Linked DNA regions of Schizosaccharomyces pombe. The protein of the gene in region 2 binds, or shares a complex with, the protein of the main gene of each other region. Each region holds a gene or a part of one and is shown on either strand. Other genes may lie near its edges.

What was found. Proteins that work in one complex are often made in the same cells at the same time.
Region 1: img1 (region 2) and mrpl19 share a complex: the UniProt entries of both Schizosaccharomyces pombe proteins name them as parts of the mitochondrial large ribosomal subunit.
Region 3: img1 (region 2) and mrpl22 share a complex: the UniProt entries of both Schizosaccharomyces pombe proteins name them as parts of the mitochondrial large ribosomal subunit.

What each region holds. Positions count from the first base shown.
Region 1 is NC_003424.3:3,204,507-3,208,315, reverse strand, and holds mrpl19 (mitochondrial 54S ribosomal protein uL11m), read left to right. Parts: upstream 1-1,775; 5' UTR 1,776-1,781; coding exon 1,782-2,216; 3' UTR 2,217-2,354; downstream 2,355-3,809. Other genes in the region: cytochrome c oxidase assembly protein Cox16, read right to left, coding at 336-446, 566-796; npt1 (nicotinate phosphoribosyltransferase), read right to left, coding at 2,723-3,809. UniProt on the Schizosaccharomyces pombe protein: Component of the mitochondrial ribosome (mitoribosome), a dedicated translation machinery responsible for the synthesis of mitochondrial genome-encoded proteins, including at least some of the essential transmembrane subunits of the mitochondrial respiratory chain.
Region 2 is NC_003424.3:1,638,381-1,643,775, forward strand, and holds img1 (mitochondrial 54S ribosomal protein bL19m), read left to right. Parts: upstream 1-3,314; 5' UTR 3,315-3,374; coding exon 3,375-3,923; 3' UTR 3,924-4,552; downstream 4,553-5,395. Other genes in the region: structure-specific endonuclease catalytic subunit Slx1, read left to right, coding at 263-361, 403-1,119; erg8 (phosphomevalonate kinase), read right to left, coding at 1,159-2,431, 2,498-2,505; anaphase-promoting complex ubiquitin -protein ligase E3 subunit Apc11, read left to right, coding at 4,728-4,746, 4,790-4,912, 5,130-5,272. UniProt on the Schizosaccharomyces pombe protein: Component of the mitochondrial ribosome (mitoribosome), a dedicated translation machinery responsible for the synthesis of mitochondrial genome-encoded proteins, including at least some of the essential transmembrane subunits of the mitochondrial respiratory chain.
Region 3 is NC_003421.2:2,026,719-2,031,131, forward strand, and holds mrpl22 (mitochondrial 54S ribosomal protein uL22m), read right to left. Parts: upstream 2,417-4,413; 5' UTR 2,313-2,416; coding exon 1,563-2,312; 3' UTR 1,456-1,562; downstream 1-1,455. Other genes in the region: SPOM_SPCC1739.01 (zf-CCCH type zinc finger protein), read left to right, coding at 1-612; helicase Hrr1, read left to right, coding at 2,937-4,413. UniProt on the Schizosaccharomyces pombe protein: Component of the mitochondrial ribosome (mitoribosome), a dedicated translation machinery responsible for the synthesis of mitochondrial genome-encoded proteins, including at least some of the essential transmembrane subunits of the mitochondrial respiratory chain.

The DNA of each region.
Region 1 (3,809 bases), 1.6 Mb from region 2:
CTCCTATTATTAAAACGCTTTTAGGCTTGAGTGACATATTCATAGTGAAATTTACGCTCAAATATCTTCATTGAAAGTTTATTCTACTGAATATGCTTAAGTGTAAGTATTTGGTCCTTTAAATTGAAGATAATTATATATGAGCCACATAAATATTATTCTCATGTTAGAAAAAAAAATTCTTGCTTTATTTATTTGAGTATTTCCATATGCTAAAACACTCTGTATCATAAAGTCGTCTTCAGCATTCTCACTTCAAAAACTTGTATCCTTTTCAATACTCCATAATTAATAATAAAATAAAGGAACAAAATAACAATAAAATCGTTCATTATTCATTCTTTATCGCTTGAATTTCCTTCCCATGTAGGCTCCCCTTTTAACCTCTTTACACGTTTATTTTCGTACTCCTCGTTCTGTAGATTCAACTGATCTAATAAGATCCTCTATAACAGGTGGTTAATAAAAAAGGAACTGGTGAATGTAAATTCACGAAAAGCAAATGCACTTTGCAGCTGGTTGCCAAAACTTAAATATTGTAAAACAAGATCAGCACTTTACTTACATAATATTCTTCATTAACGTCGACCTTTCTTCTTCTTTTAATAATGTCTAACTCTGCATCCCGGGACAAGGATTTAACTTGTTCATCTCGTCTGTTAAATTTGACTTGGGAAATGGGGATCAAGCATGACCAGACTAATAATACTGAGCTCAAAAACGGCAATCCAACGTAAATAAACGGACTTTTCTTGGCTTGAAGCCTATACCAACTTTTAAATCGATAGAAAAGCATTTTAATTTATTAACATCCTTACATTCGCTGAAAACGATGGATTGTTAAGAATGTGTAGTAAATAGCAAGTTGGTTAAGATGATTATGGCAAACTTCACTCAGCATGTTAGGATGGAAATTAATAAGATAGTCGTTGGTTTGTAATAATTAATTTTAAGAGTAGAGTTTTAATAGAAATCTGCACTTTGAAATCTTTTTATTTCTACTAATTATTCAAGCTGCATCGCGTGACAGCATTCCTACATAGCCCAAGCACTTCAGGTGAAAACCCTTTATAGTTTTAATTACAATACACATTAGGAAAAAGAAACATATCGATGGCATGTGCTAGTGACAGACTGTGACTTCCAGTAAACATGTGTTTTACTTTGTTTACCATAAAATGGTATGTAAAATGTTTATTGAAAGTAATAAAATAGCTGAGAAAAGACCATTTAATTTCAGCTTGTGATTCAAATGAAATAATCATGCTTTTTAGTTAGGATATTTGCCAATCCCTAAAAACTTAATATATTAATTGATAGTAAGGAGTTAACTTTGAAAAGCTATGTAGCTAAATTTTGGTTTGCTTCTTTTAAACGGCTTCAATTCAGCGCTATTGTTGTTCAACAAATGAAAAATTTTGCGACATTTTAACTAATCCGTATTTGAGATTCAAAAATCAACTAAAATTTTTCAAAAAAATCCTAAAACGAACAACGTTTATGAAAACGTCTTTTCCATTTATCTGAGTTGCCTATTTAATGTCAATACTTTTACTTCTATTCAATCAAGCAGAAGAGAAGGACACATTTGGTCTATTCGGGAATTTTTCTGACTGCTATTAAAAGCTTTAATATTACAAATAAGTAAACACATTACAATTAATTCACCCAAATATTTCAAATTAGTTATTATTCTAATTACAATTATTTTTAAGGAAGAACATGTTACTTTATTGCATGAGAGACATACAACTTACAACTGTATTTTCTTCTTTAACCTTATGGCTTCTACTAGAACGACAATCATAAAATTAATTGTACCGGCAGGAAAAGCTACGCCTACGCCTCCAATTGGACCTGCCCTTGGTGCTCGCGGGTTGAAGAGCATAGACTTTTGTAAAGAATTTAATGCGCGGACGGCAGGTTGGATGCCAAATACCCCAGTGCCTTGTAAAATTACTGTCACACCTCAAAGAACATTTACTTTCACTATACATACTCCTCCAACCAGTTGGTTAATCTCTAAAACCCTCGACCTTGAAAAAGGTTCAAGTTCCCCATTACATGATATAAAGGGACAATTAAGCTTGAAGCATATATATGAAATTGCCAAATTGAAAAGTACTGATCCAAGCTTACAAGGAATAGAGCTTCTTTCTCTTTGTAAAAGTGTCATTGGAACAGCTAAAAGCATGGGCGTCAAAGTCGTACCTTAATCTTATGAGACGCCAGAGCATTTTGTAACTGGTCATACTTGAGGTTATTTTTTTTTCTATCTTGTTATAAACTATTCCCCTCTTTTTTCTTGAATAAAAGCAGTTAATGATATGACTTTTTACTATTACCGACTAAAACGTTGTCCCTGTTTTCTTATTTTCTCCTTTTCTTAGTTGTTTTATATTATTCCTTCGTTAAACAAGCAAAGTAAAAAAACACGTTTGCCATATAAAATTAAAGAATTGCATACCGTTAGTTTACAAACACATCTTAGACTAAATGATTACCTTTAGCATTAAACTATCAATATAGATAACGAAACAGATATGCTAAGCAGAAAAGAAAATGAAGATTTTCAAGTGTGAGTTTTATGTTTACTCTAAGTCACGCCTTATGAAATGCAGCTCAATAAAAGAGAGCCTCAAACTCTGTCTATCTATCAAAAAATAAGAAAAAAAAAACCAAGATTAGTACTGCAGAAACGCTCGAAAATAAAAGAAATGGCTTATGCTATAGGGAGGCATAATTGATGCTTGGCTTGAATAACAGCATCACGATCACCAGTATTTTTCATGATATCGTCACTAATCTTCACTGCTTTAGTTCCTTCAGCGGAAAAAAGCTTAATAACAATATTCATAGGTTTGCTCACTTCACTGGGATTGGAAACTTTTTGGAAGTCGCTGGTAAGATTTGTGCCGATGCCAAATGCAGACTTAATGCCACATTTCTCGCAGTATTTGTACAGTTCGATACATCTGTCAACATTTAAAGCATCGCTATGAACAATTACTTTTGTGGAAGGATCGACACCTATTGATTTATAGTGCTTTACGACTTTTTCAATGTATTCCTCAGCACAACCGCTATCTTGACGAACACCATGGAAAACATTGGCTAAATCGTCGGCAGAATTGGCTGTAAAAGATTTGAGAAACACATCAGTAGAGAATGTATCCGTTAAGGCTATTAAAAGACTAGTACCAAAAGTTTGGACCCACTTTAAGGAAGCAATACGATTTGCTTGTTTATAATTTTGAGTAATAGCTGCAATGCCCATATACCACTCGTGAGCAACCGTACCAGAGACATTTAGATTATATTTGGCGGCGAAGTAAACATTAGATGTACCAAGGAAACTTCCAGGGCCCTTAAAATCCTCTTGTGCTTTCATGAGACCTTGGAGAACAATTTCCTGGGTGTGAGGATCACGACGACGACGAGTGCCAAAGTCAGTAAAGGCACATCCGGCTCGGATGAGACGCTTACCCTTCTCGTAAGCTTTTTCAAACTGACCCTCAGGTGACCAGTCCTTATCGACAAATTTAAAATAAGATTCTGAGACGAGAGCAAGCAGTGGAATTTCATAAAAAATGGTATTCTTCCAGAGGCCGTGAATAAAGATTGAGAGATCCTTAGTTTCAGAATCATAATTAAGGGAAATTGAATTTTCAGGATCAAATTCGAACTCATGCATGAATTCATAAAATGATTCCTTTAAATAAGGACAGTTCTTGCGAAGCCATTGCTCTTCTTCAGGAAGTAAATGTAAATTCCGTAAGCCTCTTATTTGTTCCCGTAACCAGTTATAA
Region 2 (5,395 bases):
CCTTAGTGAAAGAGAAAGTAATGAAGCACGTCAAATAACAATTTAATCTTACAGATTTACGTGGATAACCCTAAAGACAGTAACGGTGACCTTTTGTTTTACATTGTTTTCTTACTATTATTCGAAGACAAAGCTGAAAGAAAAAATACTTTTAGATTATACTTTCAATTAATTAACTTAACAAGCTTATAAAATTACCACTAGTTAATTGTTCGATTACCACGGGTTAAGAGAAAAGTGCTATCGAAAAGAATTATGAAACATGGATTTGTGCAATTTCTACTGCTGTTATTTACTAAAGTCGAATAGGACACAATCAAGTGGAGCTGTTTATATCGGTTCCACACCAGATCCACCTAGAGTAGGTATTTTGTGCTATTATAGGAAACTAATTTGTTTTAGCGATTGCGGCAACATAATGGGGAAATAGTTGGTGGTGCATCAAAAACTAAACACGGGCGCCCTTGGTCGATTTCATGTTTAGTTTACGGCTTTCCTAACAAAGTGTCTGCTTTAAAGTTCGAATGGAATTGGCAAAATCTGGGAATCTCGAGGTACACTAAAGATTGTGATTTCCGTTCAAAAAAACAAAAAACCATTATGTATTGTCTTAAAGGTTTAAAGCATTTGGTTGACAGTGATACGTGGAGAAGATGGCCATTAAACATCACATTTCTAAATAAAACTGCTTTCAGTAAATGGAATCAACTTGGTAAAACTTATGGTAATATCAATGTATACTTCGACGAAGAATGGTTAAATGGGTTTCACGAAAAAGTAATCCAAAAAACTTACGATCATAAATTATGTTTAAGAAAGACAATATCAGAGCCTGTTAAGTGTAACCTATGCTACGAATGTATCGAATCTGATGAATTGCGGGCTAATTGCCCTTTTACGGATTGCAATTCAATAAATCATTTAACTTGCCTTGCAAGCAGTTTTCTGACAGAAGAATGCCAGGTTCTTCCAATCGAAGGAATGTGTACAAAATGCAAAAGAGTATTGAGATGGAGAGAGTTCCTGTCTACGGTTTTCACTACTTCTTTAGAAACTGACGAACGAGATTTTGAAAGCGAAAATAGAATAGAAATCATAGATCTAGAACTAGAAAAATAGCGCCAATACTGTGTCAGCAATCTCTATAGTTAGTCTTGTTTATTCTACGGCTAGCCCATCGAAAGCAGGAGAAACGTCCATGGGTACTACCCCATCATCTTTCCATGTTTTGATAACATTTTCGATTATCTCCGTATGGTTAATGGCCAAACAAAATTGTGCATCAAATCCGCCGGCTCCAGGAACTCCCACACCAATGACACCAGGCAACTGCTCTATGTTGTCTAAAATATTTGTTTGCTTTAAAGGTTCTATGTCAACCTTTGCTTCAACGGTAATTCTTTGAAGAATACGACGAATGGATCGAAATTGACTTTGAAGTTCAGAGTCTAAGCTTTCAGAAGAAAGAAAACAGTTTTTGATGGAAAGCACTCTTGAATACAAATCATCAAAGCAATTCTTAGATTCCTCTGGATTTTCCTTTTGCCATTGCTGTACTTTTTTTACCATACCCGGTGTGCTACTGCCACCAGCTACGTCCCCCATTAGCAAACAATAAGTAGCAGGCAATTGAAATGGAACAACATCTGACCATTTTTTAGAAACTATTTTTCTCAGTTCGGTGGAAAAATTTATGTTCTTTATTTGTTCGTCGTATGGGACCAGCAGTTGTTCAATTAATTTAGGATCAAACCTTCTATAAATACAACTTCCCCAAGTGGCAGCGCCAACATCAAACCCACTTCCTACTTTTCCTTGTGCAGAACAGTGGGCAATTTGTGCCAGATTGTGAACTATGACTTTGGTTGAATCATCAATTTTGAGAGATTTGTCACCAGTGTCATCTGTTAGTCGTCTAAGACTTAAAAATAATGAACCTATAAGACTTGTAATCATAGCTGCCGAGCTTCCTAAACCAGTCTTATGTACTTGACCTAAAGTACAGTTTAAGAAATTGAATTTTGGATAGCTTGTTTGATCAGGCTTTAACTGTGGTTGGTGATAATAGGCATTATCTACCTGCAATGTAACTTGAAGATCTTGCCAGCATAAAGGTTGTCGCCCCGTGGAAAAAAAGTAGTTAATTACATAAAAAAGTGCCAGTTGAACGAAGGGGTTTGGATTTTTTTCCAATTCACAGTTTTCATATATCTGATGAACTCGAATAGGAGATACAGTCCAATCAATATTATAAAGCCATTCAGCGTTAATGAATTGAGGGCTTTTCACACGAACCGTTCCACATTTATCGTCCAAAGTCGTTGTGGAAGCGTACCCTTTGGCAGTTAAACCAATAACAAGCCCGCTGTATTGAGGATCTAAAACAATGTATCCACCAGCTATAAGTACTTTACCAGGAGCAGAGCAGGTCCTGCCAAAGACGCTAGTTAGAGATGGACAAAACAGAAAAAAAGAAAAAAGACTGGTTTCAACTTACACTTTCATGTTGATATATTTTTGTCTTGAATATGGATATCTCTATAATGTTTTGTGTGTCGTAACTTTTTTATAGGACCTGAGAAGGAAATAGAAAGGAATGTATGACTTCTATCTTACGTGATAATCTGTTGAATTTAGAGAAATGATATATCAGTCAAAGTAAAAGAGAGGATTATCTTCGAACAGTAGCTCCTGAAAAGTGTTATTCTAAAAATCAAAAAAAATAAAAAAAGAACTGATCAAAGAGTATCAAATGTTATACAGAAACTAAAGTTGCTTTGAGTAAATCAACTTTCTAAATCATTATCGTATCGTTCGTTTCGCAAGATTTGCTTGTGGAGAAAATAGTATAGAAAATTAACGTTAATTAAGGAGAGTTCGAAATCAGGAATACAGAGATTACATTAACGCATATTCATATTAGAGTATATAATTGATTGCATATAAAATAATATCTTTTACGAAAATGGAACATTAAGGTGGAAAGAAAAAAGCAAATCTTGCTATTGAAGTTTTCTGAATACCAGCGAGTTATTGATAGTATTATAACTACAATGAGAAGCCATGTAACTGAATTGGAACACGTATATTCATTCGGGTTCAACAGGAATCTTTCTATTGCCTTGAACATTCAAGGTCAGAAACACAATCCTTGATGGATAAATCATATAAAAATATATAATCAACTGTATTAACTTACATAGTCTAATATAGCGTAATGGAAGGTTGACAATAAATAACATATAACGAAATACGTTGTGCAGAATTTGCTAATTCATTTTGAATACCATCGTACTTACTTAAAAAGATACTCTGTAGAATATAGTGTTTTGTCATTCTTACTAACGAACGGTATTTAATGACTTTTGGAAGACATGTTTAATGCCAAACACTTTTTCAATTTAGGATTGGGCTTTCAATGGCTACAAAAGAGAGGTATTGGATCGTTAAAACGGCCTTATAACTTTCCAAAGCCAGTACCAGGTCCAAAGCACAAAGATGTGTTATCATTATTCGAAAAAAAGTGCCGTTCAGTATTGGATGAGCAATCTGAGCGATTCAAAATGTTTCATCGCTCGCAGCCAAATCGAGTAAGACCAGGCGCGGTTTTACTGGTTGAAAGCTACTCAAAATACCCATCAAAAGATTCAGTCAACAGATTTGCTGGTTATCTACTGCGAATTCGGCATCGTGGACCAAAAAGTTCAATCCTGTTACGAAACGTGGTAATGGGTGTTGGAGTCGAATATTTGTTACCAATTTACTCTCCACAAATTAAACGTATTGTTGTCCTCAAAGAAAATGGTCTATCTAAAAGACCTAGAAGAGCATACTTAAGTTACTTGCGTCAACCTCGCTTTCGTCTTCCACCTGTTGAATCACTGGTGCGAAAATACATTGAACAAAATCAACATAAACCTTGACACAATCATTGCAACTTCTGCAAGTAAATTTCTTTTTTTTTGCGAATCTTTCATGATTTTATTCAAGAAGCGCTGTATGATTTATAGTTCGTTTACACTCTATGTTTCCCTATCTACTTGTCTTTTTCTACAGGCTATTGCATTTAGAACTGCATTATAAGAGGCGTTGGTTGGTTTTCTGGAACAGATTTAGAGATTTGGATGTATATTTCGGCTTTAGCCTGTTTGTCAAAACACGTATTATCGATTCCATGAAACGGCAATGAATCACCTCCTTTGAGCCTTTTACCCCCTTCTCATTCTTTGAATCGACAAGTCACATGTCATTGCCATTAATTTTCCCAGATGAATTTGTGAGGCACTATGAATCAAAACCTCTACTTTTTTCTTATAAATTTGAGCTGTATGTAGGCTTGCCTCTTCATAATTCTGCGCTTTGATTATTTTGAATAATATTTGAAATTATTCATGTAAAAAAGTATAAAACTTGAGCTCAACAATATGTTATAAGCTAAAGAAGCAAAGTATCATAAATATAAAAATTTTGTTAGCATGTCGAATGTAGCCGGCTTGTTACAGTCCAATGAAAATTAGTTTTAGTTAGAAATTTTAAACTTTCAGAAAACGAAAAGATGTATAGCTAAAGCCAAATATCAACTGTAAATCTACTAACTCTTCTCTTCTTACGACATTTTGTTTTTCGCCTGAATTGTTTTCTTAATACCGTGGTAGAACGTAAAACATTAGCTAGCAAAAAACACTAATGTTTATTTAATTAGATCTCAAATACAATATACAAAGACTATGAAGGTGAAAATACTGAGTAAGCGAATATTTTGGAAATAAAATTGTTTTCTAACCACTAGGATACCATGCAATTGCTAACTGGACGTGGGATACCCCAAAAGACGACGTTTGTGGTATATGTCGTGTTCCATTCGATGGATGCTGCCCTCAATGCACAAGTCCTGGAGACAATTGCCCCATAGGTAAGAATATGTTTGTATTTATTTCCTGAATATGCTCTGCGGAGGCTTACTTGTATACTTTGCATCCTAAGGGGGTATCAGCATGAAAATTTGTTGCGCAATTGGGTTGGTTGTGTTCAAATAATCTTTAATCTAATATTCATACTTTGTTTTTGTTAAAAAGAGTTTATCATGGGCATCAGCTTTCACAGAATTAATTAAAGGCTAACTACGCTAGTTTGGGGGAAATGCAAGCATATATTTCATGCTCACTGTATTCAAAACTGGTTAGCTACTAGCGGTTCTCAAGGTCAATGCCCGATGGACCGTCAAACTTTTGTGGTAGCAGATTCTACGAATGAAAAGTCTGAAACACAATAAATACGATTGACGTATCGAATAAGACTTCCAAAGAATCCAACTCAATAGTCACGATTATTATTATTACAAACGAGATAAAGTTGGAAGCATTTTTTCGTTAACGAATAATTATTACTGTAACAA
Region 3 (4,413 bases), on a different chromosome or scaffold from region 2:
GCTGGCGCATTTCCTTCAGTGGTTAGTGCTAGCTTGCCCACTAAAGTAGATTTGAATCATCAAATGGACGTTAGTGATGAGGAGCAGCGCTTTTTAAGTACGCCTTTAGGAAGCTTTGATGAAAGCATTTTGGGCTCATCACCTATCAATCGATTAAGTTCAAGCTTTAAGCAGTACACTTCTTCCTTGAAAAGTCCTGGTTTAAGTACTCGGACCAGCTCTACTATGAATTCGTTAAACAGTAGTAGGTTCGGCGCATACTTCTCCAAGTCTCGTTATGTTGAAGGTTCGGGTTCAATGTCTACCACGCCCTTAGCCACTAGTGTCAATAACTCTTATAAGTTACCTTCAGGTTTTAGTGTTCGTGAAGAGGCCGTCTTCAGCTCGCCAACCACTGAAGGTTCAAGACCTGTGAGTCTTGCTCGATTGAAGAGCGAGCCTATTTTTAGAAGTGATACAGCATCTCCGGAAACCATCGCTGGTCTTGGTGATACAAAAAATGATCCTGTCGTGAGTACCAATAATAGCGTATCACGTATAACCGTTGCTAATAGTTCTCCTCCGTGGAATAGTACGGTGGAAGAAGAGACGCCATTCCAAATGGATGATTAAAATGAATGCCGTCGAAAAATTTACAAAAAGCTTGAAATGTTTTATTAAATTATGCATTATTATTGATAGTTATCATATTTTTTATTTTCTCTGTGCTTATCGCATGTTTTCAATATGTTTTTAAATTGGGGTTAGCAACATATGACCCTGCAAAACGTCTTGTTTAAATATGCGAAATTTTTTTTTCTATTTCCAAACATTCTTAAATGAAAACACTGATTTTCTCTAAATTAATTTTTACCCACAGTTTAAAAAAAAAAACTCATTGTTGTGGTTCAAGTTAATATAGTTGATACATTTACTATCTCAACTTATTTTTTCATTATGGCCCATTAAAAAGAATTACTGTCTATTTGATGCGGTTTGTTTCCTTTTTTTTCCTACTGATCATTTGCTACTGCAAATGAGTTAAAATGCGGATCCAGCGTACCTTTACACCTAATAATTGGGGAATTAATGATATTTTATACTCGGTTTGCTTGATTGTTTAAAAGTGTCTGATGAATTTAGAACCAATAAATATGTGTCAAAATGGTGAAGAGATATGGATAGCTTCAACATATGGTCCAAAGCACGTTTTGAAAAGTCAAAAAAAGAAGCTCGTTGCAATGCTTCAAACCAAATTTGAAAAATGTTAATGAGGCAAACGATTGCATGAATGATTTAATAAGATTAGACAGTTTAAAAAGAATTGCGTTCTTTACGAAAACGTATCATTGAACTAAAAGTGATGTATGTACAGGTTGGTTAGTTTACCTTTTTACAGTACTATTTTTCTACTGATACCATCAGCACCATAGAGGTAAATACAAAATTATGGCGTTGCTAAAGAAATAAATAATAAGGGAAACCATATTCTCATAAAAAAAAAACGGCACTAGAATTACTATAAACGATATTGGGGGGAAATATTATTAGAGTATCAAAGATATGGGCATCTCAATAATGACTTAGCAAGTGAAAAAGTTAGATTTTAGGTATATTGGTCGGTTAGGCAGAGGCGTCCAAACTTTCTTTCTTTCTAGTCTTTGTTGACGACGCTGTAAATCGCGCAAGAGAGCTCGCTCATCTCTTAAAACAACAGTAACTCGAACCCGTGGAGATCTCTCAATGGCACGACCTCCACGGCCCATAGTGATAAGTTTCTTTAAATACTTTGCCTTTCCAACCCATATTTGATCAACGTAGAGAGTACTCTCATCAAGACCAGCTTCACGAACAGCGTTTTCTCGAGCAGAAACCAAAGCAGTTGCGATGTACTTGGAAATTTTTTTATCTGACATTTTCATTTGAAGTAAAGCATGATAAAATGGCTTATGGGCAATTTGACGACACAAAGCGCCGACTTTCTTTAAAGAGGAGCGAAGCACCATTGATTGTAAGGTGTAGGAAGGATCCATGGTCTCCTGTTTTTTGAAAGAAATACGTGACCTTGGTCTCTCTTTTACACGCTCTTCCTTTTGCTGACGATTAGAATCGTCCTTCTGGTTAGCAAGCATTGAGAAAATGTCGGACCCTTTTTGCGAACCCAAATTTGCAGGATTTTGTGCAGACTCCCTTAAGTAGGATCCATTTGAAAATTCTCTAACAAAAGAAAGTAATGGAAATTTGTAATGGTACGTTTTAGAATTCAATCCTATCGTGGACGATGGAACTAAAAAGCCCTTTGATATTTTCATAAATTGATTAATGTATTTCATAATTAAATCTTAAAAATTTTTTCCCAAATATTCCTTCCACACATAGAAGTCAACGTTTTCGACTAATTTGAGCAAATGCGCTTTCTCAATGTTGTAACAAAACCAGGTAAATATTACATGCCAAGGTGGTACTAATAGGAATTGCAACCTAACGAATTGCTAACTGTACTATGTTATAGGTCAGTTAGCATTTCCCTCCTTATACAGTTATAAAAATCTTAAATGAGAGAGCTCACTATCACTATGCAAGCTACTCAGTTTGTAAATCTATTTCAAGGATGGATAAACTACGATAAGGTAACTTTACAACGATGTTAACACATGCTTACATGCTTTATGCTGGCACACTAAGCTGCACATTGCGGGTATTATCTGAACGCGTTAAATGCATGGTCACGTAAAGACAGAAAACGGCCCTTGGCAGTAAACAAACAACCCATTTGTATGTTAGACAAATAATATTAGAGACAGGTGCAGAGACTGTACATGAATTGTTATTTATGATATCTTTTAGCTTCTTTGGGGAGGACGAGATTAATATTACGACCTAGTGGGCGCGTACTGAGATATTTTAGTACAATAACCTTTTGAAATTTTTTGGATATTATCCTTTTCTTTTTTATTATGGAACAAGTACAAGATGAAATTTGGAAGTTAAGTACGCTGGACGCCTGGGAAATGGTGAACAAAAATACAGAAGTTGTGTTTGATGAAATCCCCGAGCCAGAAACTTTAAGTGAAATGAAAAGACACCCATTGTATAGCAACATCTTTAACGCCGATAATAATACTACGAGTTTCACAGAACAAATCGAGACTTCTGAAACCTCCAAAACCCAAGACTCGGAGGGGAACAAAGTTGATAAAAATTTAAAAGAAAACAAGTCAATACGTCGTAAGAGAAGCATTGACAACGATTATGAATTGAGTAATGTAAAGAGAAATGATATAACATCGGGAAAAAATAGAGAATTCGAAAACGAACACCATCCCGCAAGCGATACTTCTTCTTGGCGGGAACTACCATCAATTCCAACGTTGGAAGAATTGACGTCAAAGAGTGTTGAATTACCTTCAAACAACATATACGGAGGATACAAGTCCTTTGAAGATTACTTATCTATACACTATCGGTTGCTACGTGAGGACGCAGTTTCCCCATTACGAGAAAGTGTGCTTCGGTACAAGGTAAACCCCAATTACATTACCGGCTCTTCGTTAGCCGTATATGATCATGTGCGGATAGATGGCTATACAATATCTTCCAGTGTTATAGCTGCAAAATTATCCTTCAGTGTTCGCGCTAAGAAAAAAATAAAATGGGCTACCAGTCGTCGTCTTATCAGTGGATCTTTAGTTTTATTAAGCAATGATGATTTCCAGACTTTTCGCATTGGAACTGTCTGTGCGCGGCCCTTGAGTGGCCTTAATAAACATCCTCATGAAATAGATGTCAAATTTGAAGATATTAGTATCTCTTTAGATCCTCGAGAAGAATATGTTATGATCGAAGCTACTTCAGGCTATTGGGAAGCTTACAAGCATGTTCTTCGTTCATTACAGAGGCTTTCTGCTAGCACATTCCCGATGAAGGATTACTTGGTACACTGTAAAAGTAATCAGGAGACTGCTAAACACATACAAAATAATCCTAGGATACGCATAAATTCTATCTTAAAAAATAACTCTCAAAAAATCGTAAATGCTCTTGAGCCGTTCGGTCCTGGCGAGTATATACTAGACTCGTCACAGTTAAAAGCTTACCAGTCCATGCTGACTAAGAGACTCTCCATTATTCAAGGCCCTCCAGGGACTGGTAAAAGCTTTGTTACTCTTAAAGCCATAGAAACATTACTTGAGAATACTCACTCCCATGTTCTTCCGATTTTAGTAGCTTGCCAAACGAATCATGCAGTCGATCAAATATTGATTCGTTTATTGCATCAAGGCGCTTCAGTAATGCGACTAGGTTCAAGAACGAAGGATCCTGAGATTGCAGCGGTTACGATTTTTCAAAAAGCAAAGCACACCAAGCATTCATTTAAGGCTGCTTATAATGAGATTCGTCACAAAAAGCAACGCTTAATCAAGCAAATAACTA